Linked DNA regions of Sus scrofa. The protein of the gene in region 2 interacts with the protein of the main gene of each other region in a pairwise test. Links are inferred from orthologs where the notes say so. Each region holds a gene or a part of one and is shown on either strand. Other genes may lie near its edges.

What was found. The genes of interacting proteins can lie anywhere in the genome.
Region 1: the proteins of ARFIP2 (region 2) and ARF3 interact in a two-hybrid assay, tested with the Homo sapiens proteins (2 studies listed by BioGRID and IntAct). The link is inferred for Sus scrofa from reciprocal best matches to the Homo sapiens genes ARFIP2 and ARF3.

Annotation. Positions count from the first base shown.
Region 1 is NC_010447.5:14,989,148-14,996,367, reverse strand, and holds the start of ARF3 (ADP-ribosylation factor 3), read left to right. Parts: upstream 1-3,351; 5' UTR 3,352-3,603; intron 3,604-7,220.
Region 2 is NC_010451.4:3,246,642-3,253,850, reverse strand, and holds the start of ARFIP2 (arfaptin-2), read right to left. Parts: upstream 3,841-7,209; 5' UTR 3,686-3,840; intron 2,898-3,685; 5' UTR 2,856-2,897; coding exon 2,757-2,855; intron 2,502-2,756; coding exon 2,405-2,501; intron 1,686-2,404; coding exon 1,567-1,685; intron 1,384-1,566; coding exon 1,162-1,383; intron 623-1,161; coding exon 465-622; intron 334-464; coding exon 159-333; intron 1-158. Other genes in the region: TIMM10B (mitochondrial import inner membrane translocase subunit Tim10 B), read left to right, coding at 3,983-4,021, 4,223-4,318, 4,515-4,691. UniProt on the Homo sapiens protein: Plays a role in constitutive metalloproteinase (MMP) secretion from the trans Golgi network. May have important functions during vesicle biogenesis at certain cargo subdomains, which could be predominantly utilized by secreted MMPs, such as MMP7 and MMP2.

The sequences.
Region 1 (7,220 bases), on a different chromosome or scaffold from region 2:
TTCAGAGTTCTCCTGCATTTACTCTTAGTGAAATAATTTATCTTTTAGGAGATAACCATAACTAGGGAAAACAGAGTTTCCTCTATTCAACTCCAATTTCTTTCTATTCCTAGCCTAGGATCTTGGAAAAGAAATAATTATTTTTCAATTCAGAAAAGGCATATGCATCACAAATTTAGAACTTTGTAAACAACAGAATATGTATGGAGTTGCAAAATGCTGACCCTATCAGGTCATCTCCTTGGTGTGGGTGTGGGTGTAGAAATACTCCTTCTCACTCTTCTAGGCAGTAGCTATATCTGCTACCCCAATTACCCTCAAAATCAGGTGAAATAATGGTAGCATCAGGAGAGCAAGGACAGGAAAGAGTATTGGATTAGGGCAGTACTTCATGGCAAAACTTTATGTCCTGAATTCTCACTTGTGCACTGAGAATTCTTGGTTTGGCAATTTGATGGAGGCAGGACCTTAGGTTCTGACTGAGCCCAGTGTGTGTAGAAGCTAGTGGGAGAGAGAGGGATACAGCTAGAGGAGACAAGGGATATGAGAGAGAATAATGAAAAGGAATATCTAGAATGGGAATTTCTCACACTCAGGAGGAGGTAGGAGAATCCCCAATGAAATCACAGCAGGAATATCTCAGTTTTTCCCCTCATTTCCTTCCTCTCTGCTCTCTCTGGCTCCCTCTCTCTTTCTAGCTTTCTCTCTTCTTTCGTCAGACACACTCTGTGGCAAACTTAAGCCCCAAACCACAACCTTGAGAAATTCCAAATGGATTTTGTCAGCAAGGCCAACACCCCCTCCCCACCCCTGCTCCCGGCACACGCGCTGGGCTCAGGCCCAGGCCTGGGGTCAGTGACGGGAGTGGGAGTGTGCAACCCACAGAGCGGGTGGCTAAAATTTCAGCTTTTACTGAGCTCCAGTGGCAGCCAGAGGGAGGGAGAAAGACTGAGGAACTGTAAGTCAGGCTTCTTGGCTTCCTTCAGCTCTGGCCCAGCTCTTCTCCCCTTAGCCTTTCAAGTAGCAGGGAAGCTGGAGGGTGGCTGGCTCATTGCCAGTTGGGAAGCACCCCTCCTGTCTGTGCTCCTGTTTGCTCCGTGGGAAGCACCCAGTAATGCTGCAACAGACACTTTCCTCTCCAGACTCCAAAAGAATCAGGGACAGAAGGGCCTCGAGATTCTCCAGGTTCCATTCATCAGTTCTGACTCAAATACCATGGTACTGACGGCTAACCATATTCGACCGTTACCATTCCATCCTTCCGTCACACTTGGGACCCAACCTTGAGAAGATCTGAGGTCTTCAGAAGGAACACTGACAGGTGTCACGTCCTGTTGGAGTTCCACAAGGCAATGCTGGTACTGCTGAGACACTAGCAAGGGCCGTTGCAAAGCCTTCATTTTGGTGATCAGTGTGTGGGCATAATCTGGTGGGGTGTGCCTAGAAGATTCTAGAGAAAGGGATGGAAAGAGTAAGCATGTGGAGGTATCAAAGGGCCCACTCTAGGAGTCTCTAATCACCCTGGAGGAGTCTTCTGCCATTTAAAACACAGAGCTTAGGAGGGAAAAGGCCCTTAATGGCGACAGCCCAGGACAGATACAGCTCTCTTTGTCACAAACATGCTCTTTGTTGTCCGCCTCATCCTTCAGTATTTTAAATTCAGGTCTTCTTGGCGTCGCATTCTAGGGTTGTGTTCTTCTCCGGGTTAAAATACAAGAGAAAAGAAAGTGGGATATGAGGAAGGGACTGGCGAATGCATACACAAGGGATTCATGGGGACAAGGGGTAGACATAGTTTAGCTATCGACCAGTCTAGTTCTTCTTGGAAGGAGACAAGAAACAAGGCAAAAAAAAAAAAAAAAAATCCAGAAAAGCAACAATTTTGGCTCAAGCTTTAGGGAAGAGCCATGTGTTCCCATATACAGATGGTCCCAACTTACAATGGCTCAACTTATAATTTTTTTACTTTACAATCATGCAAAAGTGATACGCATTGAGTAGAAACCATAATTTAAATCTTGCATTTTGATCTTTTCCCAGGCTAGCAAAATGCGGTAGGATATTCTCTTGAGATGCTGGGCAGTGGCAGTGAGCTGTAGCTCCCAGTCGGCCATGCTGTCACAAGCGTAAAGAACTGACACACTTACAACCATTCTGTGCCCATACAACCATTCTGCTTTTCACTTTTAGTATTCAACAGATTACATAAGATATTCAACACTTTATTACAAAACAGGCTTTGTGTTAGATTGTTCTTCCAAACTATAGGCTAGCGTAAGTGTTCTGAACATGTTTAAGGCAGGCTAGGCTGCTATGATGTTTGGTAGATTAGGCATAAATTCGTTTTCAGCTTAAAGATATTTTCAATCTATGATGGGTTTTATTGGGATGCAACCCCGTTGTAAGCTGAGAAAGGTCTGAACTGCCGTAAATGAGGACAGAGGGCACATCAAGAACCTTCTTCTGGGAGTTCCCTGGTGGCTCCAGGGGTTAAGGACCCGGTGTGGTCACTGCTGTGGCTCAGATTACTGCCGTGGCCTGGGTTCAATTCTTGGGCCAGGAACCTCTGCATGCCATGGACGTGCTGTACCCCATACCCGCCAAAAAAAAGAACCTTCTTCTGTTCTTTAGTATTACTAGTACCCTTCTTGTATCACAGCTGTAGCTGTTCCAAGGTAGCTTTGCATGTCTAGACCAGGTGCAGAAATGGTGTGAGGAAAGTGGGGGTGGGCAGGAATAGAGAAACGTGGGTGCAGGATCCCTCACTATCCTTATAATGTTAAAACTCATATTCATCTGAAATACTTCCTCAAACCACATCTCTGAATATGACGCCTCAACTGTCATTCAAGTTCCAGCTTCCCAACTGGCCCAGCGTCCAGTTGTTTCCTTCAATCTCTTAAATTCATCACTCTCCTCCTTCCCAATGTAAAAAATCTCTTGATTCTGACCCCGGGGTAACCTAGTGCTAGTAGTGAGTAGCAACACTGGTGCAGCGAGGGCTCTCAGGGCGTGCACCTACCTCTGGTTAAGAAATACAGAAATCTGAAGGGGTAAGGGCCAAAGCAAGGGCTGTTCAATCATACTCTGCTCCTTCCGGACTTCCAAGGAGCCCCAGTCTCCAGTGTACCCACTATCCGGCCCGTCTTTAAATTCCAAGCACCGCCCTGGGGCTTGGGATTCTCACCTCTGTCCCCACTGCCTCACCCCCATTCCGTAGCTCCCGCCTCCTCCACCCGCAGATTCCAGCCCCCATTTCGGCCCCCTCCCGGACTCCAGCTCCAACACCCGGCTGCCACTGCTGCAGCCGCTGCCATGGTGATGGATCTCGCGAGAACTGCCGCTCACCGCCGCGCAACTCTCGCGCGATCGGGGAGGTGGGAAGTATCCCGGCCTGGGGGTGGGGGTGCGGCGCACAGCTCCTGTCGCCGTCGCGGCTTCCGGTGCTAGGTGGTGGGAAGGAAGGAGGGAGCTGGGAGCGGGGCCAGGGGAGCAGCAGCGCTGAAATCGGCTGAGGGAGCCGGAGAGAGTGGAGCGAGAGCCGAGCGGAACCCGCGGGGGCGGAGGCGGCGGCCGCAGCGGCAGAGCTGCGAGCAGGAACAGGTGAGGGGCTGAGGAGAGAAGGCGGGTCCGGGTAGAGGAGAGGCTCGGGGTGGTGGCTGAGAGGATAGAGCAACCCCCCCTCCCGTCCCCAAGCTCGCACGGCCGTGCCTGGCATCGGACGGTGGGGTCCTTCCCACCCGAGAGCTCGGAGAGGGGCCGCTGGGCCATCCTCACGCCTGCCCCCGCATTTGAAGGACGCGGAGCTGGGGTGGGGGTGGGGGGCGCACACGGATTTGTCCTCCGTCTCGCACAAGGGGGCGACCTGGGCTGCAGTTAGGTTCCCCTCGCCTGCAGGAGGTGGGCTTTTGAGGGGTTGGGGCTGAGGGGGAGGAGAGCAGTCCAGGGAGAGGTGACGTGGGGGCGGTGATGGTTGTTTTATATCCTTTTCCTATTAAAGGGCTAGAGAATGTCGCTTTTTTCCTGCCCCCGCTCCTCCTCCACCTTAGTAATGGATCAGAGAGAAGCTTGCCATGGTGACACCTCCTCCCCCCACATCATGGGGCAGGGGTGCATAGGGGGTTTAGGGATTAGCCGGGAACGCAGGCTCGTGGGCACCGCAGGGGCACTGTTCTGGTAGAGATTGTGCTTTCGGGTCTTGGGAACCGCAGGTTGGGAAGAGGGCAGCAGGTGAGGAGCAGGAGGGGAGGCGGCAGGGAAGGGGGAGGGGGATCTGATCTTGGTTGGAGAAGAGAGGTGGTGCCTTCCTCCCCCAGGCGAAGCGGGGGCGGTCTCACAGGAGGAGGGAGCATCTTGTCGCTGGCTCTGAGTTTGTGTCTTCCAATCCGCTTTCTTTCTTTAGGAAGTACCAGGATTCCCGGAACAGAAAATGGAGCCATTGCTTACACCAGTGCTTGAGGGAGGAAGGGGGGGAGTGGAATTCCCTGTTAAAACGAACCACTTGATGAGCAAAGTGGTAGCTCCTCGTCTGGGGGAGTTCCCTTCTTTCTGGGTTGTATTACTGCCAGTCTCCCTCTGGCCAGGCCAGGGGGAGTGTGGTATGTGGTCAGGAGTGAGAAGAAATAGTGAGGTCATCGGGTGAGGGAGAAGTGTAACTTAAAACCTGTCTCTGCCGCCGTTGATTGGGTCATCCCTGGTCTTTGGCATGAAAGTTTTATTTGATAGGAGATCTGCTGCAGGAGTCTGATTGCTTGGGTCAGTGCAGCAGAACAGAATCTAGTCTCTGCCTATTTCCTTCCCTGTCCCTTATCAGGTGGTGACAATCTTTGCTGCCATTTTGTCTGGAGCTTGTTGTTGGAGCAGGCGTCTCCACTTACTATGACTGGAATGGGTCAGTGAATTGGTCATTGTACATTAGACGTGAGTTTGAATAACATGTCTTTAAAAGCTCATTCTGAGAAAGAAGCTGATCCGTTGAGTTCACCTTTTCAGAGAATGAATCATTGACCTTTGATTCAGCTGGAAAGGGTTCTTATGTATCACGTATTCACATGCCTCTGGTCTCCTAGCATAGAGTTATTAGCTTGTTTAGTCAAAATTCTTTTGAGTATGTCTTGCTTTTCCAAAGAGAAGAAGCTTTTTGAGTGTAGGAGTTGGATGCCATTTTGTACTTCCCATACTACTTGTGCACAGTAGGCACTCAGGATGTAAATGAGTAAAACTCAGGTTTTCTGACCACAGTTTAATGAAAGAGAAAGAGGTGGCCTGGCCATCAGGGAGAGTGCCCGAAGATAGCTGAATGAGGGCATAAAGGTCCTTAGCTTTTGTAATTTAGAGTCCTTGGTCTGTCCATCTTCCTAAGAAGCCCAGAACAACCATGGATAATGAAGCGAAGACGCAAAAAGAAAAATATTAGGAATTCCTGTCGTGGCACAGTGGTTAACGAATCCAACTAGGAACCATGAGGTTGCGGGTTCGATCCCTGGCCTTGCTCAGTGGGTTAAGGATTCTGCATTGTCGTGAGCTGTGGTGTAGGTCGCAGACGCAGCTCGGGTCCCACGTTGCTGTGGCTGTGGTGTAGGCCAGTGGCTGCAGTTCCAATTGGACCCCTAGCCTGGGAACCTCCATATGCTGTAGGTGCGGCCCTAGAAAAAGGCAAAAAGACAAAAAAAAAAAAATATTAGAACACAGAGTTATTATTTATCTGAAATCTCAGATATCCTGCTTCCCCATTGTGGGCAAGGGAGTCTCTCTATCAGATCTAAGTCCTTCAGAGTGTCATCTACAAATTGGGATCCTGGTGATTAGGGAGAAAGGAGCCAGCGTATGTCCAAGGTGCCAGTGAATGGTAGCCATTATTATTAAACTGAATTCAAGTGTTAAGGAGGGCAGACAGCAGGTTGGCAGGAGTGGAAGTGAAGTCTTAAGTGCACAAAAGGTCTTACTGTGTGTGTTCATCTCTGCTACTCTTTTCCATTGGAGTCACAATAGAGGAAATGGACTCAGGACAGTGGGTGGGAGTTGCTGGTTCGTGGAGGAAGTCCTTTAAAACTAGGACTGTTAAAGCTGAGTCAGTAACTGAGGGACATTGTGGAATCTGCTTCCCCATATACCTTTAGAAACAGAGACCAAGAGGCCTGAGACTTGAAACATATCACTGTGTTTGGCTCGCCTCACCGTTCTTTAACAACTCGAGGTATAATTGATTTACAATATTGTGTTTGTTTCAGGCGTACAGCATAAATCCCTTCACCAATTTCGTTGCAGGTGAATTAAGACGCAAAATGGTGTGGTAATTGATTAAGTGTGGACCTTGGAACCAGACAAAATTAGGTTCAAATGGTGTGGTAATTGATTAAGTGTGGACCTTGGAACCAGACAAAATTAGGTTCAAATCCTGCCTCTGCTAATTTCTAGTTGTATGATTTTAGCGAAATTATCTATCCTCTCTGCGTCATTTTCTTTGTCTGTAAAGAGCGAGATAATGTTGGCCTGAGATTAAATGAGATAATACAGGAGTTCCTGTTGTGGCTCAGTGGGTTAAGAACCCGACTAGCATCCATGAGGATGCAGGTTTGATCCCTGGCCTCGTTCAGTGGGTTAAGGATCCGGCGTTGCCACAAGCTTCGGTGTAGGTCTCAGGTGTGACTTGGATCAGGTGTTGCTGTGGCTGTGGTGTAGACCTACAGCTTCAGCTCCGATTGGCCTCCTAGCCTGGGAACTTCCATATGCCGCAGGTGCAGCGGTAAAAAGAAAAAAAACTGAGGCAATACATGTAAAACACTTAGTATTATACAAAGTACATAGTAAGCCCCAAGTAAATGTCAACTGCTATTAATAATAATCATCATAATAGCAATAATAACATGAGCACTCAGGGCTGCCTTGAAGAAGAGGAGGTCTACAAAAGAACAACTTGCCGCCTGAAGTGCTTGTGTAGAAGGATGATTGTTACCGTGACTCTCTGTGTTAGTCGTAGGCTCATGAGCAATGAAATCTTTTTTCAGCATCAGCCTCACAGAGGCAGCTCCTGTTGCCTGAGTGGGAGGTAAAGCTGGAGCAAGGCAGGGTCCCTGAACCAGCAACTTGGATGTAGGGTGAGGCTGTGGGGGCTCAAGAATAGCATTCATGTTAGAAAAATCAGAATGACTCTGAAGTAACGGTTGACTCTTCTAAAAAAGAGCACCCTGATCGACCTAGGTTGGGCATTTAGATTTGTG
Region 2 (7,209 bases):
GGAGGGTGCTAGGAGGGGTCCAGGGGTTGAGTGGGCTGGGGGAAGACCCCACTCCTTAGCCAGGTTACACTTTCATTCAACGATGGGCCGGTCTTTGGGGGGAGGGGGGCTGGGTCAAAGAGGGAGGGGGGGCTGGGTCAAAGGAGTGGGGTTAGCACCTTGTTTTCTTCCAGGAACTTGAGCTTGATGGCCACATCTCCCCGCAGCTTCTCGTATTTGTCCCGATGGGCCTGGAAAGTGGCCTGGGCACTCTCGAGTCGACCACGCGTCCCTGCATCGCGGGGGCCTAGGCTCAGCTCCTCTAGGTCTGTCCGGTAGGCATCGTATTCCAGCCTGAGGAGGGGGTGAGAGAGGCTGGTCTCCACCATCCATCCTTTCCCTTCTCCGTGCTCGTGCCCCTAAAGCTCAGACTTCCGCTCATGCCGGCCACCTCCCCAACCCCTGGGCCCTGCCAGTGCCCACACCTGGCAGCCTCATACTGTTTGACAGTCATGAGCGTGTCTTCCATGGTCTTGGTCACCAACGTGTTGATGCTGGAGACAAAGAAGTTCACGGCCCCCAGCAGTGTCTCCCCGTTTTTGCACAGCAGCTTCTGCGTCTCGGCGTTGTAGCCAAATTCCTCCTGAGGGCAGAAGGCAGGGACCGGCCTTGAGCAACGGCCTCCACCTGACCAGAGCTGCGGGGCCCTTCCTGCCCTCCTTCCCCCGGAGGAAACAGCCACTGAACTGGAGCCACCCAGGGCGGCCTCCAGCAAGGCTCTCTTAGCCAGAAGGGTCGTGGGCCCCCCCTGGGGATGCCTAGGGCAGGAACGTGGGAGCGGGGCTCTCGGAGTTCACGGGACTGGAAGAGGGCAAGCCAGTGCAGCAGGCAAGGGAGCGGCTCCGATGAGGCTGGGCACCGAAGGCATTCTCGCCGAGGCCGAGAAGGGCTATTTGCGAGGCACCTAGTGTGCCGCCTCCCCCACCCCCTCCGACTTCTGGACCTCCGTACAAACCCTTAGGCTGCCTCCACTGGTGAGTGCTGCTGGGGGCGGGGCTGGGCCCACCCTGGAGGGGTTCTCCCTCTGGGCTGCAGGAGGGAGGGAGGAGGGAGGCTGAGGGGTGACTGCCTGGGAGGGCCCCGGGCCCAGGCCCCCCTCCCCCTCTGGCCTGCCCAAGGCACCTGAAGCTCTGGGGACTTCTGGCTGAGGTCAGCAAAGGCATCCCCCAGTGCATGCTGGGTCTGCAGCAGGCTGTAGAGGTGGGCTGTCAGGGCCCGGCCCAGCTGCAGGACACTCTCATACTTGCGCTTCGTCTCACGCAGCAGCTCAATTTGCAGCTCTAGCTCCAGGTCCACAGTCCGGGAGCCTCGGCCAAACCGCTCTGATAACAGCTGCTTTGTGCACTGAGTGGGAAGTGGGGGAACAGGTCAGAGACCCTGGCGCCCGGCCCTGCCCCGCAGCAAGTGTCTACCCCGGCGTCCCCAGACTCCAAGTCTCAGCCCGAGATGATGGGACAGGAGGATCCGCAAGATGGGGAAGAGGTACCCGGGGGAGCTCAGGGGGCGGAGGAGGTGCGTGAATCCCACCTTATACGTGTTGATGCCCCATTTCTTGACGATGTCGAACTTCTCTCCAGCGATGCCCCGGGCCACCTCATCCCCGGGGCCAGCAGGAGGGGCGCTGTGAGATGGATGGCGGCCAGACCCTAAAGGACCAAGTTCTCTGACACCAGCCTCTCTCAGACACAATCCGACGCCTCTGTGGTTCCACCCACACTTCCCTCCCAGCACATGAAAATGACGCCCCGGAAGGAGCAGGGCTGGAGACTCACTAGGAGGAATTCATGCCTTGGACCCTGAGACCCAATCCCAACATACACCTGGCCTCCTTTTGACGTGGAGGTGAGGACTGGAAAGGGAGGTGGGAGGGGTTGCTCGTGTGCAGGGGCAGAGGAAACAGCGGAGACTAGGCTGAGAATGGGGTCGCTGACCATGGCTGGGCGCCCCTCGAACCGAACACCTGGCTGACATTCCCATGTGGATCCCAGTCACTGCGAGATTCAGGGCTGCTTGTTCCTCTAAATAGCAGAGTCTAACGTAAGACTCTGATAAGCCTCTCAAAGCTCCAAATCAGATTCAAGCTCCAGAGCAGGGGAGGCCTGGTGAACAGAGTTCTCTGCCTGACTCAGGTAGTGACGGCAGAGAAGGGACAAGTGGGCATATCTGAGGGACAAAGTGGCAAGTGGAGGCAGATGGACACCCCTGGGAACGGGCCTTGGGCTGAGATGCCCGCGGGTTCATCCTGGCAGAGGTTCCCACGAGCTCCAGACATGATTCACGCCTTCTTAGACGTATCCTATGCCCCCTGGAGCCAGTCCTCTTCCCCTCTCCACTCAATGCCCTATCCTGCTCTGATCATTCATACCTGTGGGGATGAGTCCATCACCAGAGCCCCCATAGCCACCAGACACAATGCTGGTTTCATTGAGGTTGGGTCCTGACACCATCACCTGCTGGAGGTCCTATAGGCCAGAGAAGAGGGGGGCTTCAGGAACATATGGGCAGCTGAAGCATTTTGGGGGTGAAAACAAGCTTGGATTGAAGCATCATAGAGAGAGCACACAAGGGAAGTCTGCACAGAATCAGAACAAAGATTGGTAAAAAGACTGAAGGAAATCAGGTGAGTTGGGGGAAGGCTACTGGAAGAAGGAGAGAGCTCAGGGTTTAAGAGTTGGGATTCCTCAACTGAAACAATGTGAAGAATCAAACAGAAGCACCTGCTCCAGCCCATCATCCTCAGGAAGCTGCCCCGCGTCACCATTCCCGTGGATGGGGATCTCCATTGTGGCTGCCTTCCCTAGGATCCCGTCCGTCATGGCGAGCGAAGGGACTGGAGTCAAAGTCTCCACCCCAGCGCCCTGCAAAGCCCAACACAGACAGTTCTGGAAACGGGCCAGTTCTCCGAAGAGGAAGGTCTCCCCTGCCCTTGCAGAGGCCGTCCCGGGGCTTCAGTGTGGTGGGGTCTGCCCACCACTCTTCCCTCGGGGCTTTGTCTTTCTCCCTTCCAAGGTGCAAAGTTTTACACACAGGCACCCAGGCCTCAGGTGTGCCTGACCAGAGGTCATGTTCTCATGACCCCCCCACCCCCACCCCCCCAGCAGTCCAGGGATCATTCATGCATTCAGTCCTTCCACAGACATTTAATGAGTGCCTACTACATGCCACGCACTATTTGAGGCAATGGAGAGAAAGCCTGTGCTCTCAAGCAGCTTATCCCCACGCAGGTATTCCTCCTCATCAGGAGACAATCCCTTTCCCAGCGCTCAGGTGCCTATCCCCGTTCAGGTATGTTCGCCATTGTTTGGCCTTTCACACTCCTCTAATGTCTCCTCCTCTTTCCTGCAGGTGGTCTCCCCCTCCTCCATCCCATGCACCCCCTCTTCCTGCCCCCACCCCCGCCCCAGGCCTTAGTTGAATCAGTTGGTGTAAGTTCCCGACCCCGGGGAAAAGTCCCTTTGCCCCAGGACATAGGGAGGTGATCCCTTCCAAAGTCAGTTAGGTCTCCCCAGGTGTGTGAGTCTCCGCCCTCCCCCCATACACCTGGGCGTCAGGTGTGTCCTCATCCTTTCCCAGGGCTCAGAAGCATCTTGCCCTCAGGTCAGGTTCGTGCGTTCACCTTGCCCTCGCCCATGCACGTCCCTCTCACCTCGGGCCGGGCCGCTCTTCCCCTCAGGGCGCCAGGCCCGGGCCGCGCGGGGATCTCGGGATCCAGTTCCCGTCGCGATCCTAGCAGCAGGTCAGGGACTCGGCGGAAGTGACGTCCTCTCCCGGGCAGAAGAAGCCGGCCACGTAGCCGATTATGAGGGCGGAAGTGACGTCGCGGGGAGGTGGGCGGGCGCTCCTTGAGCCAACCCCTCTGCCCCTGGGGAGCCATTGAGGTCACTTCCGGGGCGTTCCCTAGAAGCTGTAACGGAAGTGACGTAGGTTGTGCGCCGGCGGCGTGATGGAACAGCAACAGCAGCAGCAGCAGCAGCTGAGAAACGTGAGTGGGAGCTAAGTCGCTTAAGGGCCCTGCATCCAGCTAGCATCCCTGTTCGCATGGCGGAAACCCCAGAGAGCCAGGCATCCAAGGGCTGGGAACCACGGGCCGTGGTACACGGTCCTGGGAAAGCGCCGGCAGCGCGGCCTTGAGTTGAGACGTGGCCCCCTCTTCGCTGAGTTCCTTGTCCCCCTTCCTCCCCAGTTGCGGGACTTCCTGTTGGTCTACAATCGGATGACGGAACTCTGCTTCCAGCGCTGCGTGCCCAGCCTGCATCACCGAGCTCTGGATGCCGAGGAGGTTAGGTGGGGGAACTGAGTAGGGAAGTGCTCCTCGAGCCTCAGAGCTAACCGTGCACTGCTTCCCTCTCCCGTCAATTCCCCTACGTCCGGCCCTGGCTTCCCACGACCTCCGCCCTGAGGCTGGGGATGGGAAGGAGGGAAACGGACCTGACTGGACACCTTTGGCTTCTACTTCCACCCTGTCTTCCTTCCAGGAGGCCTGTCTGCACAGCTGTGCCGGGAAGCTGATCCATTCCAACCACCGCCTCATGGCCGCTTACGTGCAGCTCATGCCTGCCCTGGTACAGCGCCGCATCGCTGACTACGAGGCTGCCTCAGCTGTGCCAGGTGTTGCTGCTGAACAGCCAGAAGCCTCGCCATCTGGCAGCTAGCTGTCCTCAACGCTGAGAAGGGAGGCACTGGATGGACCCTCACGTTGAAGGAGCAGTGGACCTTGGGCAAGATGGAGCCTGTATGTAGAGAATGAGGAGTTGCCTGAGAGCTAGGTACTGTTGCTCCTTTTCCTGGAGCTAATAAACCTGCTGTAATCTGTGCGGTTGATATTCTGGGCAGGGAGAAGTTGCCTTCTGTGTGTGGAAGGAAAACCTCAGCATTCCCAGGCACCTGGTTAAAGGAAGGTCTGTGGGTACAGCTTTAAAATTGGCAACAAGACGCTGGTTCGTGCCCAGACGGCAGAGAAAATGGGAACTCTGTCCTTAAATCTGTCTGACTTAAATGGTTCGCTTAGAGATATTAAGGACCATGGATTAAGAAACCACAGGGCTTTTAGGCACTACCTCTTCGAAAGTCAGTAGCCCCAGACAGATGAAACCTATAGGACTTCTGGGTGTTCTAGAACGTTAACCACTCCCCCAAGTTGTTACTTTCTTAATACTCCCAGAAATTGAGCAGTAAATCCTTTAAACCGAGGAGGTCTGTGTGCTCGTCTTCAGGAGCAGTCAGGGGAAAACTTGGGGAGCCATGTTCTGCACTATAGTCAGACTCAAGGGAGAGAAAACCACAGAAGTAGAGGGTGGTGGCTAAGGGGACAAAAAAAAAAAAAAAAAAAAAAAAAAAACAGAAGAAAGGAAAAGCTTTTGGATGTTACGCTCTTGTCTCACTGCTCGCCTGTGATCTCCTAATTCCAGCCCTGCCCCCTACTCTGCATTGTCCCAGCTGTGCCTATCCCATGGTTTCTAATTCCAGCCTCTCCATTCTTTCCTCATTATTGCCTCCCTTGTGGAGTTTACCTCTGTATTCAGCAGTCTCAGTGGCATGTCACTCCATCCCTGAATTTTTTTGCTGCCCTTGTGTCCTTTTTGTATCATTCCACCTGTTTTACTTATTATTATTTATTTTTTGGCCATGCCATGGCATGCAGAAGTTCCCAGGCCAGGGATCAAACTGAAGCCACAGCAGTGACAATGCCGAGTTCTTAACTGCTCGGCCACCAGGGAACTCCCAGTCCAGCTGTTTTAACTTTTCTGGTCCTCCATTCACACAGCTAGAGGAAAACACAGCTGTGTAGTGAATGCCACTAAATATTCCCAGTCCCAGCTGCAACCAAGCTCTACCAACAAATAGCATTTGGAGGGTTCCTGGTCTGTTTGCTCTTCTCATCACCATGGCAGCTGTTTACACCTTCACTGCTCTCCCTAACCCCCCACCTCACCCTCAGCTATTCCCCCTTCGGTGATCATGCTTCGTTTTTATAATGGAAATGGGAGCTTTTAGACAAAAGCTTGGTTGGTTTCCACAGTAGTACTTTTTCAAAAAACTTGAAACCACCCACAAAACAGTTGTTTTCTCCCCCTATACAGGTCAGGATATTGAATTCTTCTGGTAGCAGACTCTCAAAAGGCAGATCTGACTTTACGATATACTTAAAGTATATCTCTTTAAGGGAACTATGCTAGCCTGGTGTCGTTCTCTTTGCTATACCAGGCTGCTTCTCAAAATCGTCTCTTGAGCACCCACTTTGTATAGGTTCTGGTTTCGATATTATCCCCACTTGAGAGATGAGGAGGTAAGAATTCAGTATGTATCAGAAGCCACTGAAATCTCCTTCAGGTCTTCCCGTGAAGTGTCCCATGGACATAATGAGAGCAGTGTGACATTCGAAGCACAACTCGAGGATGAGCTTTGACAAAACTTTATCCTTTTATCACACAAATTATTACACAAGTTTCACTGGAGCAGTCAGGCCATTGCTTCCACTTTTTCTCCATTAACACCTTCCTGTCATTAGATTCCTGTCAAGCTTAAATTCTAGCCATTTGCTTGGAATAGGCTAGATGTCCTTGCTTCTCTTTGTTGGACTTGGATAAGATGAACCATCTGTGCATGCATTTAGGCTTATAAGGGAGTCAGTGTAGGGAGGATTTATATCACCGTGAATCCGTGGTTATCAACTTCAAATGGAGCCTCAGCCCCTGTAATCCCACTAGATTTTTCAAGTCAGCTTTCCTGTTCCCTGCAGTGACTATTTCAAACCAGGATTCTACCTGCACCGTCTCCTCGCTTTTTGCTGGTAGCCTTGTTTTTACCTCGTTAGCAAATGTCGGAGCTGTCAGTGGGGAGCTCCCGCAACTTCTCACAACCCCAAACCCACCTACACCTGCGTCATTCTCTCCTCTCCCTCCTGTCGAAACAGGACCGGCGTCCCTCTTAAGGCCAGTGCCTGTTGCTGCGCCTCCATCCCAGTCCTCCCTCCTGCGGAGAGTGCTGACGTTTCCCCACCTGATTCTTCTCAGCAGCGTCTTAATGAGCTAAAGAGCCCGGTGCAGCAAACAAGCCACTGCCGCCCGGGCACCATCCAGTTTGTTTCTGCTTTTACAGCTCTGACTTCTCTGCATTTCCGTTCCACCCAGTCTGTTTGGACTTCTGCAGCCTTTACTCTGTTGGAAGAGT